Linked DNA regions of Pelodiscus sinensis. The main gene of each other region encodes a partner of the protein of the gene in region 2 in a complex. Links are inferred from orthologs where the notes say so. Each region holds a gene or a part of one and is shown on either strand. Other genes may lie near its edges.

Region 1 (7,778 bases), on a different chromosome or scaffold from region 2:
CCCCCCCCATGGCCCCCCGATGCTGGCGCAGAGGAACCTTTGGTGTCCAGCTCTGTCAGCGGGCCCAGTGCGCCTTTCTTTTTGTCAGCAGCGGCTGCCGCCCGGGCTCCATCCTTCTGCTCTTCCAGCAGATCTTCCTGGGCCCAGCGCTGGGAGTAATGCTTCCCCAGAGGCGGGATCTGCAACAGTGCACAGGGAGCTGGCTCAGCACCTCCCCGCGGCAGGGAAGGGCTGTGTGCACCCTGCACCCACCCCGGGCATAACATAGTGCCAGCAGGCTCTGCAGGGAGCTGGTGCATGTCCTGTGAGGGCCCCACCTTCAGCAATGCCTGCCTGTGGCCCCGGCCCTTACCCTCCCAAGGTAGAGGGCAGAGGGCTGGGGGTCTCCCTCGGCCTGCTGTCAGGTGACGGGAGGAACCACAGGGCAATTGGCCAGAGGTCGGCCCCTGCACACAAGAACGGGGAGCGTCTCCTTCGGCACAGCCCTGGTGTGGCTGACAGCACAGCACATGCCAAGGGACCAGCTTGGGACCTGGGGTGCCAGCTGCAGCCTTCCTGGCAGGAGCTGACAGCACGAGCTTTCTCACTCCTGCACTTGGGGCAGAGGGGTCCTGGCCCTCTGGATTTCTGCTTCCCACAAGGTCTCACCCGAGTCTCAGCCACTCGGTGAAGGGGCCCCGGCTCTCCTGCAGAGCAGCCAGCATGTGCCTGTCTGCCTGAGAGGTGGGGCTGCTGGGTGTGTGGGACAGGCCTCTGCCACCCCCGGGGAGTGCCAGTCTATGCCAAGCACCAGCTGCCCAGGAGTGGCCTCCGAACGGGAGCTCCAGGTGCCACTTCAGGAGCTGCATGAAGCAGACGAAGAGGCACTGTCATGTGGCAGTTAACAGGAACCGCCTTGCAGGGTGTCTGTTCCAGGGATGTTCGAGATCGGTTCGTTGACCAGTCAAGTAACCTCACAAACACCTATCGGTGAGTCGACTGGTCTGAAGTCCCCGGGGGCAGGGCGGCAGCCGCTGTATCAGAGGGAGCAGCATGGGGCGCCAGGCGGGAGCTGGTCCATGGGGGGAGCCAGTTTAAAAACAAGCTCCCCTCGCGGACCGGCTGCCTCTTGCCCCACGCTGCTGCTGATAAAGAGGGCTAAGGAAGGTGCAGCCCACCACATGCAGGGGTCTGGCTCACTCTGCATGGGGCTGGCCTGCAAGGAGGCTGCTGTCTCCTGCCCCACTGCAGCAGGCAATTGGACTAGGCCTGGAAAGCAGCGGGAGGCCCAAGTGTTGGAGCAGGGGACAAGTTTCCAAATACCCAGGGCCTGAATCACTTCTGCCTGGAAATGAAAGGAACATGGGTGCTGTTGTTCCACGGCACGCCCAGCCCAGGGTAACCGGCTTTGCTGCCCCAGCAGCACAGGGCTTACGGAGAGCAAGACACCCCAGAGTATCCAGCCACCTGTCAGTCTGGGCCCTCCGCCCGAGTCGCCCCACACGGACCAGAGAGTGCCTCACGGCACGGCACCCCCTGGAGCCGGGGGAGGATGTCTCTGTGGCTAGCGCTCGCCCAGAGTGGGCACGGGGCTGCAGTGTTTACCTTGTAGTGCTCAGCCTCATCCTCCGGGGTCCTGAGCAGCTCCTCCAGGGTCCGCACCTCCTCGCTGGTGAGGTCAGCACAGTAGGGCTCAACGGAGGCCCAGAACCTGCCGGCAGAGGGAAGGGCAGAGCTGCTGACCTGAGCGTGGCTGCCCTGTGCCCAGGTGATGGGCTCCGTGCCCGAGGACAGTGCGGTGAGACCCGACTGCTCCTTGCCCTGCATCTGGGGGCTTTGCTCACCAGGCAAATGAGGTCGTTTCCTTGGGAACCCCCACGGCCCCAGCTGGACCCCTCCATACCTATTTGGGGCGTCATTTTTGGGGATCCGAGGCACGTCCACAGGGTCGTCCGGAAACTCATATTCTTGAATCTTGGGCTGGAGGTTCTTGGATTTGGGCCGCCCTGGGCCAGGCCCTGTGCCATGCCCACCCTTCCCCTCTAGCTTCTGCTTCTTGGGCTTTCCATGTTTCACGGGGGTACCAGTTCATGCTCCTTGCCCAGCTTCAGGAACCGCTTGTCCCCCTCTTGTCCTGCCAGTCGGTCAAAATCTGAAAGAGAACGGCTCAGCATCACCTCAGGGGCACAGCCCCCCACGGCTCAGCATCACCTCAGGGGCACAGCCCCCCACGGCTCAGCATCACCTCAGTGGCACCCCAGGGGTGCGGCCAAGAACCAGTTGGGGGAAGCAGAGGGTCTAGTTCCCACTGAACCCCTTGCCCTTGTTGAGCACTGTCTGCTCTTTATGGATCCCCCGCCCCTTCCCTATAACAACCATGGCGCAGCCCGTCCCCTCAGGCGCCTTCTCCTGGGCTGGCTCCCCTCAAGCTCAGGGAGCACTGAGGAGAAGAAAGGAAGGGAAGGAGGTGCCAGGCTGCAGCAAGCAGGGTTGTGCCGCGGCGGAGGGGACCTGGATCCCTAGGCCAACCTGGCGCTCCCCACCGTATGGAGCAATTCCAGGGACAGAGGACACAAGCCAGGAGGCCTCGTTGCCAGGCCAACCCGCAGAGCGGGGACCCTGCTGCAGGCCTATGCTGCAGCCAGCCTGTTCGGCCCACAGGGCGTTCCTCATGCAGCCTGAGTCCTGCATAGCACAGGGCCTGGCCACGGCCCCGGCTCAGCCCCACCAGCGGAAGGACCACCCCTCCCATTTCACTGCCGTGGTGCAATTCCCACTGGGCCAGCCCGTCCAGCGCCGGCACCACGGAATGGGCAAATCCCCAATGGCGGTGCGCAAAGGGGGCAGCTTTGCATTGGGGGGCTGCCCTGCCCTCCTGGGCCCCGACAGGCCTTGGCAAACGGATGGACTCCAGCCGCCGCCCCAGGAGCTGGGGAGCCTGACCTGCGTCTCGGCCTCCAGCACCCGCAGCCTGCGGCTGGCCGAGGACAAGAGCGTCTCCAGCTCCAGCTGCAGCGTGTCAAGCTCCTCGATGCCGATGCCATCGTCCTCTGAGCGGGCCAGCACGGCCGTGTAGCGCGGGCAGGCCTTCGGGTGCTCCACCGACTTGAAGTCGTGGAACTGCAGCGGGCAGTCCTTCAGCTCGCTCATCGTGGGGAGCCGGGCTGGAGGGGCGGGCGCTGCGGGGGGGGCCCCGCCGGGCTAGAGAGGCGGGGGGCTGCCGGGGGGGGGGCCCCGCCGGGCTAGAGAGGCGGGGGGCTGCCGGGGGGGGGCCCCGCCGGGCTAGAGAGGCGGGGGGCTGCCGGGGGGGGGGGGCCCCGCCGGGCTAGAGGGGCGGGGGGCTGCCGGGGGGGGGGCCCCCGCCGGGCTAGAGGGGCGGGGGGCTGCCGGGGGGGGGGCCCCGCCGGGCTAGAGGGGCGGGGGGCTGCCGGGGGGGGGGGGCCCGCCGGGCTAGAGGGGCGGGGGCTGCCGGGGGGGGGGGGGCCCGCCGGGCTAGAGGGGCGGGGGGGCTGCCGGGGGGGGGGGGCCCCCGCCGGGCTAGAGGGGCGGGGGGCTGCCGGGGGGGGGGGCCCCGCCGGGCTAGAGGGGCGGGGGGCTGCCGGGGGGGGGGGCCCCGCCGGGCTAGAGGGGCGGGGGGGCTGCCGGGGGGGGGGGCCCCGCCGGGCTAGAGGGGCGGGGGGCTGCCGGGGGGGGGGGGCCCCCGCCGGGCTAGAGGGGCGGGGGGCCCCGGCCGGGCTAGAGGGGCGGGAGGCTGCCGGGGGGGGGCCCCGCCGGGCTAGAGGGGCGGGAGGCTGCCGGGGGGGGGGCCCCGCCGGGCTAGAGGGGCGGGGGGCTGCCAGGGGGGGGGCCCGCCGGGCTAGAGGGGCGGGGGGCTGCCAGGGGGGGGGGCCCCGCCGGGCTAGAGGTGCGGGAGGCTGCCGGGGGGGGGGCCCCGCCGGGCTAGAGGGGCGGGAGGCTGCCGGGGGGGGGGGCCCCCGCCGGGCTAGAGGGGCGGGAGGCTGCCGGGGGGGGGGCCCCGCCGGGCTAGAGGGGCGGGAGGCTGCCGGGGGGGGGGCCCCGCCGGGCTAGAGGGGGCGGGGGGCTGCCGGGGGGGGGTCCCGGCCGGGCTAGAGGGGCGGGAGGCTGCCAGGGGGGGGGGGCCCCGCCGGGCTAGAGGGGCGGGGGGCTGCCGGGGGGGGGGGTCCCGGCCGGGCTAGAGGGGCGGGAGGCTGCCGGGGGGGGGGCCCCGCCGGGCTAGAGGGGCGGGAGGCTGCCGGGGGGGGGGCCCCGCCGGGCTAGAGGGGCGGGAGGCTGCCGGGGGGGGGGGCCCCGCCGGGCTAGAGGGGCGGGAGGCTGCCGGGGGGGGGGGCCCCGCCGGGCTAGAGGGGCGGGGGGCCGCTGGGCGGGGAGGGGCCCCGCCGGGCTAGAGGGGCGGGGGGCCGCTGGGCGGGGGGGTTCCGGGGGGGCTCCGGGGGGGGGCGGGGGGCCGCTTACGGGGCGCCGCCGGCGGGCGCTGACACACGGGCCGGGCCTCCGGCGGGGGCGGGGGCCGCTCGCCGCTACCACTGACACGGCGCGGGGGGGCACTTCCGGCAGCCAGGCACCTCTCACGCCCCTTCCGGCCCCCGTCGCTCGCCCAGGGCGGCCCTGGCCCTGGCCACGCCCCCTAGGCTCGCGCGCCGTTGCCTAATATGGAAGCGGCGGCGGGAACGTACCAAGTGCGGGCCGGGGGGTGAGGAGCCCGGCGCTCACAGCGGGGCGGCGGCAACCGAGCGCCCCCCTCGCGGACTGGCGGTGGGAGGGGTCGGCGCGGCCGGTCCCATTCTGGACAGGAAGGACGGAGGCTCGAACGAGCCACCCCCGCGGGCGATAATGGAACGGCCGCCCATCCCGGAAGAGAGGAGCCGCCTGAGCTCGCCACGTCCGCTTCCGCTTCCGGGAGAACTGGACGAGCGAAGCTGCCAGTATGGTAGGTGGGGAGGGGGAGGGGGTGGAGGGGAATGGGGGGTGCGGAGGGGGTGGAGGGAGGGGGAGGGGGGGTGCGGAGGGGAATGGGGGGTGCGGAGGGGGAGGGGGTGGGGTGCGGGGGGGAATGGGGGGAGGGGGTGGGGTGCGGAGGGGAATGGGGGGAGGGGGAAGAGGGGTGAGGAGCGAGGGGGAGTCCGGGCTCTTGCCCTTGTTCTGATTTCCCTACTCTCCCCAGACTGCCACTCTGCGCCCCTACCTGAATGCGGTGCGCGCCACCCTGCAGGCTGCCCTATGCCTGGAGAACTTCTCCTCCCAGGTGGTGGAGAGACACAACAAGCCGGAGGTGGAAGTCAGGTACTTACTAGGAGGAAGCTGGGACCCTGAGGTGTTCGGGGGGTGGGGGGTAGGAGCAAGGGTTACACTGAAGTCTGCTGCATGTCCTGAGGCCCTCCGAGGAGTTGGAGACCTTATTGCAGCAGGGGGATTGGTTGCTTCCTGAACTCAGTGCCTCTCATTAGGAGGTTGTGGGACTAAGGCTGGGAGAAGCACTGTGGGTTATGGAGTAGAGATGTAAGCAAGTATTCAACTACTTGCATCCCCCCCCCCCATTGCTGCCTCTGTATCTGAGGCAGCAAGAGATGGGGAGCTGGTGCTGGTGGTAGCCAGCTTAAAAGCTGGTTCCTCTCCCCCAGCACCTTCTTCATGGTGCCGCCTGCCCACACACTCCATGCTGCTGCCTCTGTAAGAGGCAGCAGCGTGGGGTGGGGTCAAGGGAAGGCTGCTGCAAAAGCAGCCTCTGTCTGCAGCGAGCCCAGGCCCACCATGGGCATAGGCTGCTCCAGCAGCTGCCCCTGTCCCCTGGCACTCCCTGCAGATGCGGGCTGCTGCAGCAAAGCAGCCCCTGTTCGGGGCAGCCCAACTCAGTCCTGGCTCACGCTGGGTCCGGGACCTACCTCTGCTGCAGCTCTGAAGCTTAAATGTACTAAGAGCCAGGTGGGCAGGAGGGATGTTAAATTCAGATGGGATTTCCATTGACTACTCGAGTAGTCGATAAGGGCGCCTCCACCTTGGAACTGCCGGCTCTTGCTACAGTTCAAAAGCGGAAGGCCTGCATGATCACAGCAGAACCAGTGGGAGCAGAGAGTGCTTCAGTCTCCGCTTGCGCCGTTTCCTGCTGTGCCTTACCTCCCCTGCCCCCACAGAGATGGTGCTGGGGGGAACTGGCTTTTAAGCCAGCTCCCCCCAGCACTGACTCCTGCTCCCCGGCCTGCAGACTGGCCTCTTTCTATTCATATCCTGCTGCCTGTGCCCCTGAATTTCCAGGCGGTGGCTCAGGCAGCAGGATCCTATTGAGCTGGCTTCCGGCTCCCAACCATGGCGCTACCCCAGCAGGGGCCAGAGCCGTGAGCCCTTTAAATAGCTGCAGCAACCACAGGCAGCGAAGCCAGGAGCTTTTCACTGTGTGTTTAATTCAAAGCCCCTGGCCCCAGACAATTCTGGGAGGGGGGAAGGCTAGTCCTCAGCCCCGCACTCTTCCACCCCAGGTCCCACCCCACCCCTTCCAGGCATGGAGCCAACACATGACCACATACCAAAATTCATTAAGTGACCCCCCCCTGCAAAAATTATAGCCCACCCCTGTGTTAATACGTTTACATTGCAAAGTTGCAGTAGGGGTAGGTCCCGAACCGGTGCGAGCCAGAACTGAGCCGGGCTGCCTTCCCTTACTGACTAATCAATACAAATTCTACTAACTACTTGATTAGCCAGTTCACCACATCTTAACATTCCTATGGTGGAGTAGCAAGCAGCTTCCTAGTAATCTGGATCCTTCCCAGCAGGCTTCTCCCAGTTTGTGTCCCTTTCTTCAGTTCATTGGAGGGTTGCCAACTTTCTAATCCCACACGAGTGAACATCTTTGTCCTGCCTTTTCCCCAAGGCTAAGCTCCTGCCCTGCCCTTCTCCGAGCCCCTCTGTCCCAGTCACCAGGGGCATACTGCAGAGTAAGGCTGTAACAGTGGAGTCGAGTAACCAACAAGCAAAAGCTGATAGGTTAATGCTATAGATTACACTCATCTCCACCCCCACCCCGCCCCGGCAGTCAATTTTTTAGCAGACTGGCCAGCAGCCCATCTTAGTCCTGGCTCACACCAGGTCCGGGACCTACCCCCACTGCGGCTCTGCATTTAAAGTGTATTAGGATCCAGGTGGGCAGGCAGCTCGGCTCAGATCCGTCTTGTTCTGGGTCCGGGAGCTCAGGCCCCCGTGACAGGGGCTGCTGCCACCTTGCGCTGCTGCGCCTCTATCAGAGACAGCAGCGCAGGGCGATAGGCAGCCGATCCGTGAGGGGGGGTGGGTTTTAAACTGGCTCCCCTCGTGGACCAGCTCCCGCCTGGCAACCCTGTGCTGCTCCCTCTGATACAGTGACAGCAGCGCAGCGTGGCGGGGGCTCCTCAAGAGTGAGGCCAGAGCGCACTGGCTGCCAGCCCCGCCCCCAGGGGCTACAGAATAGTCGAGTAACCAATAAGAATTCAGGTTACTCGACTATTCAATTAACGACATTTAACATCCCTAGTTCAGAGCTGTTCTGCTTGAAGCCAGCTGAGACTGACCCTGTTCCAGCTGCTGCCCTGCATTGCGTCCTCTCTGGTGTTTGTCCTACTTGCATCCCTTCTTGGGCCTCAGGCACCAAGGGCTCTGGCACAACCTTGTGTGTGCAGGTAGCTGCGCAGACTCGTGTGTCCAAGGGCCTCAGTAAAAGTCTCTCTCAGTTCTAGCACCTGGGCCTTGGTGCAGTACCCAGGGAAACTGAGGTACACACAGTGTTGGTGTAAGACTCACATGCAACATAA
Region 2 (7,058 bases):
TCCCTCCCTCCGAGGCGGGTCTGCTAGTTCATGGACTCTGGGCAGTCGACACGAACGGCAGCCGAACCAGCCCGGAGTGAAAGGCAGAAGTGGAGTTTTCGCTCTGAAGCAGCCTGACTTCCCTTTTCCTCTCTGAGAAATGTAACCACTTCCTTGCGTGGGCGTTGGGGACTGCAGAACGCTGCACAGGCTGCCTCCAGCAGAAGCAGCCGCCGCAGCAGGCTTGGGCTGTCTTCCTCCGGTCTCCAGGCCTGTCTGCAAGGCTCTGAGGCCGACACGTGGAAGTGCCGGAACTTCCTCGCTACAGCTTGGCAGATGCCTTTGGAGCTCAGGGGATCGCTGCTACGCTCAGCAACCGGTTGCGTTCGCATCTGGCCCACAAACCTGGCAGAGTCGAGGTGCCTGGCTTCATGAGGAGACTTGGCTGCGAAAGGCCGAAGGGAAGAGGCAGAGGCAGGGAAAGATTCTGCTTTGCCTCCCCCTCAGTTGGACAGTTTCATAGCTAGAAGGGATAGGCTGGTGGCTGTGAAGACCCAACCCCGTGTTTCCTGACGCCTGGGAGTAAGAGTCTTGACATGAGATTGGCGAGTAACCGCTCTTGTGAGCGGCCCTGCTGAAGCGTGTGCAGGATCAGACCCAAAGCGTCCTCACAATGACAAATATCCACTCTTTCTTCTGAGCAAAATACTGACTGCTCGCCCCGCTCTGGCACGCCAGCCCAGTGTATCCCAACTGAGTCTGAGGCCTATTTACGTCTTTCCCGTACTGGCAGGTTGCAGAGAGGAAGGAGGGTCAAAAATGTCCCTCACGCTTGGCTTCTCAGTATGGCACCATGACACTGCTTTCCTGGTGGGCTCAACCGTGCTCGCAGGGCCCGACTCGCCCTTACGCACAGGAGGAGCCCCAGGGAGTGACGCCACAAAACTGGTGCATGAGATGGGAATCCGGCTCCTGGCAGGCAATGCCGCTGCGCCACAGAGTTAAAGAGAAGCCGTGGCGCTTTGCTAACCCAATGTTATGATTCAGGGTTGTGGGTCAGATTGCTCCCTAGGCCAGCTCAGAGTGTGGCATAGGGACACGGGGGAGGTCGTTTGCATCTCAACAAAGCTTGGGCTGCTGAGGCCTAGTTCAGCGAGCGCCCCACCACTAGGGTTCCCAGGTGTCTGGTATTCACCCGGACAGTCCGGTATTTTCACCTCCTGTCCGGTAAAAAAAATTCAGAGAATACCAGGCACCTGAGATGTCCGGTATTTTCTGAATTTTTCCCCAGCCAGGAAGCGAAAATGCCGGGCACCTGGCAACCCTACAAACACTCAGCACCCAGCCTCCTCCCTGCCCCGAACCTCCCTCTGGCCCCCAACACTCCCAGCTCCTCCGACCCCCATGCTTACCTGATTCCCCAAGGCTGCCAGCACAAAATGGCTGCCAGCCAAAAGACCTAGGGGAAGCAATACTTTCCTCTGGATGTTAGTGCTCACCCGCTCCCCTATTCCTACCCCTGCACTCACTCTTAAAGGGGACACACTGTTTTATTAGAATTTTTTTTTTTTGGCTCAAGTCCTTGGAGTCCTTTTTTGGGGGGGGCTCAACAACTTTGGTCTCCCCCCCTCTTTTTTTCCCCCCTTCAACAGAATTTTTTCCCAGTGTTTTTTTTTGGGGGTAGGGGTGTTCAGTATTTTTGTTTCAACCATCTGGCAACCCTACCCACCACCAGATTAGAGCAGCACTGAGCTTCACCCCGACTTCCAGTCCAGCTGCCACAAGCGTACAGACCTGGTGGCACAGACCTGGTGGCACTGGGGGAAGGAGCAGGGCGCAGAGACAGCCTGCTCGTGGCCTGCAGTGGAACAGCCCCCTGCTGGACAAGGAGGGGCTAGCTCCTTGCACTCTTAGTGGCTCCTGGGGACCAGTGTTGCTGGCAAAACGTGGCTACGGTGTAGGAGGGAAGTCTCCCCTTTCTCTATAAATTACACCTTAAAAGCAAAATAATGAAGAACCACAGACTTCCACTTTGCCACGGCAACGGCCACAGCTGAGCAGTGTTCCCTGTAAGTTGAGCATTTGTGTAGCCACTTAAGAGTCAGAAGCAGAAAAAGACTCTCCACATTCCCCTCACACATCACTGTCTAGGGAGGCCCAGGCTAGGAGATTGTGGGGGGCCAAAAATGTGGGGTTGTGTCTGGGAGGGGGCTGCCAGGAAGTGGGCTTGGGGTGTGGGTAGGAGGGAGGGCATAGGAATGTGATAGAGGTCAGCGGGGCTGGGAGGGTGCAGGATCAGGCTGGAGGTGGGGGGAAAGGGGGTTGGGCAGGAGGCAGGCACTTCAGCCCTACAGAGAGAAGCGCAGGGGGCTACAGGCTTGGAGCGCCAGTGCCAGCTCCCTGATGTTGAGTGGGTAGAGTCCTGGGCCTCAGGGGCCAAATTCAGGCAAGCTGGGGGCCGGATCCTCCCCCACTGAGGCTATAGGTTTCCCACCCCTGCTTTAAAGATACTTTTGGTCTGGGCTCAGCCAGCCCCGTTCCTGCCCTGTTGCAAACCGTGGCCTGAAGGGGTTTTAAAATGCTACTAATAATTGAGGAAGTGGGTTTCTGTGTTCAAATTCAACCCCTCCCCTTTTCTTTTCCAGTGTCACTTTAGCAAGGAAGAAACAGTGACAGTGACTATACACAACCATGGTCAAATGCTCACAGTAAACTAAGAGGTTTTTTTCCTACTACTTCCATGGTAGGGCCAGCTTATGGCTTCTGGGCAAAAACTCATTCACAGACGCTGGTCCAGTAAACAATATTACCGGAACAAGTTATTACCAAGTTCCACCTACACTGCCTAAAACCAGGATTGTCATAGTTACTCTTAAGCAGGCACCCAACAGTTTACTTAGTTTCCTCACACAAGGAATGGGTTGACTATTTACCAATACATATTTCTAAGGCAACCGGCACCATAGCAGACAGGGTGACTAACCTTTGTAAATCTCTGGAGAAGTGTGCAGAGTTAATATCCCGGGCATTGCTGAGGGGAGGATAAGTAGCTGAAATAGCTGCACAAAGGCCCGACCCAAAAATGCTTCAAGATTTACCTTTCCTGGCCTATCCTAGATTTCTTGCTTAACTGGATAGTCCGGATTCCTGCAGCATGTAAGGAGTGGTGTTCCCAGAGCGGCCCTAGTCTAAGCAGGAGGCTTTAGGGCTGAAGGTAACAGAGGATGGTCTGGCAAGAAACTCTTAAAATCAGGCAAGAGGATAGTTTTGAGGGGAGAGATGCAAAAGCCTCCAAGGCAAGCTGGTGGGTGTAACCACGCCTTGTCCCTCAGTGGGGGACTTGGCTAACAATGCACCTGCTACAGTCTTTGCAGAGCCAAAAGTAGTTAATTAACAGTGGCTTGATTTCCTACCCTGTGGATATCATTTCCTCCAGCCAAGCCCATCCTCCCTTCAAGCTACTCCTGGGCTAGAAGCTGTCATCTCAGCAGTGCCCCTCTCAAGCTGCTCTGCCAGGGATCCCTTCCTGGGTCCATCAGTGTATTGACTCTTTCATTGTAAGCAGTGGGCTGGACCGCACAAGAATACGACCACTGATCAGAGAGCCCTGGCAGAGAGCATGGGTTTACTTCACTGCAGAACAAAGAGTCTCCTCTCCAAGCTGCAGTTCAGACGTTCAGCTGGCGGAAGGCCTCCCCTAGATCTCACCGCTCCTGCGTGTCCAGGCTGTGAATTAATTATAGGTCAGCGTCATGTCTGTGGTAAGGACACTTATCTGACTGAACACAGAAAGCTCAGAAGGCAAACCCAGCAGTGTCCTGTATCAGTGATAGGACTTCCTCTTTGCTGCAGGCAGAGGCGTGGCTGCTATCGAGCTGCGGTGTAATTAACCAGGACAGAGCCATGGCTGCTGAACATGTGCAGCTCTTGCAGTGATCTTGTGTTTCTCCAAAGTCGGATGAAAATGTAGCCCCTGCAAGAGAGTAAGCAGGCTCTGCTGTCTAGGACTGGTCTCAGGACTCCTAGGATCTATTTCCAGCTTTGTCACAAAGCCCCGCTACTCACTGATGCCTCCAGGGGCAATTAAGGCACTGGATACCTTCAGGACCACAAGTGAGTGTATATGGGGCTGGGCTTGGCTCTTCTTAAACAAAACTGATGAGCCAGGTCCTAATACAGATCTTTTAAACTGAGCGTTCTAATTTGGCCTGCTCCAAAGATATGTATTTTAAAATGTGTTTCCGCTCAAACCACACCAGCTGACACACGGAATGCAGCAGGCCGGGTGCAGCTTCCTCGTATGGTTACTTTTGCTGGCAGAAATTAAATTAAGCCAAAACACTTCCCACAACAAGACTCTTTGCTTCAAACAAATGGGTTCGGGGCAGGGGATAGGTTGAATGGATCAGACATTTCTGTATCAGAGGGCCCCAGCACCTGGGAGTCTGACAGCATGGGGGACAGTGGCTGGAAGCCCTGCAAGGCCAGCAGCTCTACTGGGGTTGGGAGCCCTTCTGGGCTGGTGGCAGGAGGGCCAGTAGCCGTAACGGGACTGGAAGCCCAGTAGCAGAGGTGGCTGGCAGCCAGCAGGGAAGCTCAGTGGGAGGAGGAGAGCCTCGAGGTCAGCAGGATTGGGGCCGGTGTTGACCAACCTGTATTTGTTAAAAGCAACTTTGCAGGTTTGCTTCCCCCTGTTAAGACTCTCCACATAGAAGAGGCAGCAGAAGAGGATCATCTTAAACAGGAGGATTAGTGAGCACTAGGGATGTCACTGTGTAAACAACTACACGATTAACCAATAAGCCCAGGCTTATTGGTTAATCTGGTCAACTACACGCATTCCCTGCCTCCTCATGCTGCTGTCCCCCTGCACCAGGGCTGAGTCAGGCTCCTCTGGAGTTTGTCTTCTCCAGAAGTGAGAAGCCAAAAGAGTTGTTAACTGACTTCCCCACCTCCTTTTCCAGAGGATTTACGTATGTAACACTTGTCCAACTATAGATAGCTTGGAACATTCCACTGTTACAGTTTTGCTTGGTTTGGAATGGATCATTTAATTTTTCCTAAATTGTTTGAAAAAAGTTGTGTATTCATGGCAATACATTCCCTGACTCCATCACTCTTTTGTCGTCTCCAGTAGCTTCTTGTGACAGGTTTTAGCTAGAGGGATGTTTTCCTAGCTCTGAAAGGCTTGTCTGCAAGAGGGAGATAATACCTATGCAATAGCAGAGGAAGAGGTTTAATTCACTACCGTTTCAAGCACAGAGACTTAGGTAGAATATACAAGGAAGCGACATGCATTATGGATGAAATCAACCATGATACTTTGCAGATCACGGCACTAAATGTTGAACGAGAGTTTCCTTTCAGTCCCAATAAATCCATGCCCTTCAGATGAAGGAAAAACTGCAAAACAGTGACTTCCCTCCCCCACTTCTGGAAACCAGAAGCAGAAGAGGAATTGGAAAATCATCATTTTTCTGTTTCATAGACCCCTTACCTGAAAAAAGATCTGCCTGGGAGTTGTAGGTAGGTTGTTTTTAGACATGCAAAAGAGACAATGCCTTGTGGGCTCCCCCTCACCCCCTTTTTCAAAGAGTCAAAGGGAAGCAGTGTATCAAGTTATATACTGGTTTAGAGGAAGTGGTAAATATAGGCATTGGGTAAGTTTTTTTTCCCCTTCATTTTTTGTGTTTAAAATGCAACGTTCTGACATGAGGCAATGCAAACTGCTCTTAGCCAGATAATCCTCTCTAATGCACTGCCAACCTCAAGGCATGCATTAAGATTCGACAATCACCTTACATGGCCATATGGACAGTTATTCATAACTGCTTCTGAGTTATCAGGGACTCAAAAGAACTCCAGCAAGTATGACCAGTCCCACATTACTTTTTAAAGTCTTTGGAGAAGCTGGTCCATGCTCTCTGTGCTGCTAAACAATCTGCATCCTCCAGTCATCATAATAAACTAGAATTGTATACACCATGCTAAGGTCATTGTCTCACTTGTCCTCTTAGACTCTAGCTCAACATTAATTATGTTTCAACTCCATTATGTGGTCTCCATCCCATATCATAGATACTTTGAGCTAATGCTATTTGAGGTGGTGCTCAGTGCAAGCCTCAAAGCATTACAGATAATCCAAGTCATTTAATTTGCCTTTAGCAAACCAAGTCTGAGCTGATAATGAGAAGACTTTCAGTTTTAATTTGCTACTATTAATCTTTGTTAACTGCTAAGACAGACAGGACTAATCACTCTGGAAATAATCACTGAGACAAGTCTCCCTCATCTAAAATTACTACTTTCCATGACCAGGCTTTTCTTTCAGAAGTCTGGATGGAAAGAGCTTTTAGATGAGAAGATTAACTTCATCCTCTTGATATAGGGCATATTAAAGGTGTTTTCCTTTCCTATGGACTCACTACTGATTAGATCATTAACAAGAAGCCAAACTACAAACACATTCTGTATCTTTTATTTCTAGCAGACAATTTACATAAAATTCCCCTTTTAAGTTAGTGATCCATAACGTCCTGCAATATACTACTAATGGAGCAGCTTTGGTAAAGAATGGAATGAAACAACCAATCAAAATGAAAAAGACAATCACAGCTGATTTTGAAACCAACACATTTCACCAAATACGTATTTTAAAGAAAATCTGCCAAGCCATATCTTCTCAGTGCTTCCAAATGTTCCAGCTTGCTCATCCCTTTTCAGGTCTGTGCGGTTGCTGGAGCGGCATGCTGTCAAGCAGTCTGTCATGCTAGATAACGGAGATCCATCTTTACATGATTCGTAGACCTTGAATAGAGGACTCTAAGGTCTTGAGAGAGAAAAATGTTTATCAGTAACTACTACACTATTTTGTATTGAACACAGTTAACTCCTACAGCAAAACTAAGTGACAGAACAAAACAGATGAAACATGAGCTGGATCTCGTTCCCTAACTTGGTCCCTACATGGGTTGGGGCTGGCACATGCTACCAGATTATAAATTAACCAACAGTTCTCTTGCAAAAAGCATGTAAAGTGAAGCCTCAGAGTTATGAACACCTGAGTTACACACTGACTG

The links. Proteins that work in one complex are often made in the same cells at the same time.
Region 1: the proteins of ARPC1B (region 2) and ARPC4 are in contact, whole or in part, in a cryo-EM structure (PDB 6YW6), measured with the Homo sapiens proteins. The link is inferred for Pelodiscus sinensis from reciprocal best matches to the Homo sapiens genes ARPC1B and ARPC4. Residues at the interface, in NP_005711.1 of Homo sapiens: Glu9, Pro10, Asn28, Gln54, Thr72, Arg74, Asn96, Arg97, Ala98, Arg100, Ser143, Thr144, Cys162, Trp204, His206, Leu245, Pro246, His263, Ala319, Gly320, Lys326, Asn327, Ser328, Met350; in NP_005709.1 of Homo sapiens: Gln17, Cys21, Leu22, Glu23, Asn24, Phe25, Ser26, Ser27, Gln28, Val29, Glu31, Arg32, Glu45, Leu46, Leu48, Glu124, Gln125, Tyr127, Lys128, His129.

What each region holds. Positions count from the first base shown.
Region 1 is NW_027465905.1:101,107-108,884, reverse strand, and holds the start of ARPC4 (actin-related protein 2/3 complex subunit 4), read left to right. Parts: upstream 1-4,769; 5' UTR 4,770-4,924; coding exon 4,925-4,927; intron 4,928-5,161; coding exon 5,162-5,280; intron 5,281-7,778. UniProt on the Homo sapiens protein: Actin-binding component of the Arp2/3 complex, a multiprotein complex that mediates actin polymerization upon stimulation by nucleation-promoting factor (NPF).
Region 2 is NC_134726.1:31,969,211-31,976,268, reverse strand, and holds the start of ARPC1B (actin-related protein 2/3 complex subunit 1B), read right to left. Parts: upstream 3,013-7,058; 5' UTR 2,963-3,012; intron 407-2,962; exon of another isoform or gene 1-406. Other genes in the region: ARPC1A (actin-related protein 2/3 complex subunit 1A), read right to left, coding at 6,802-6,808. UniProt on the Homo sapiens protein: Component of the Arp2/3 complex, a multiprotein complex that mediates actin polymerization upon stimulation by nucleation-promoting factor (NPF).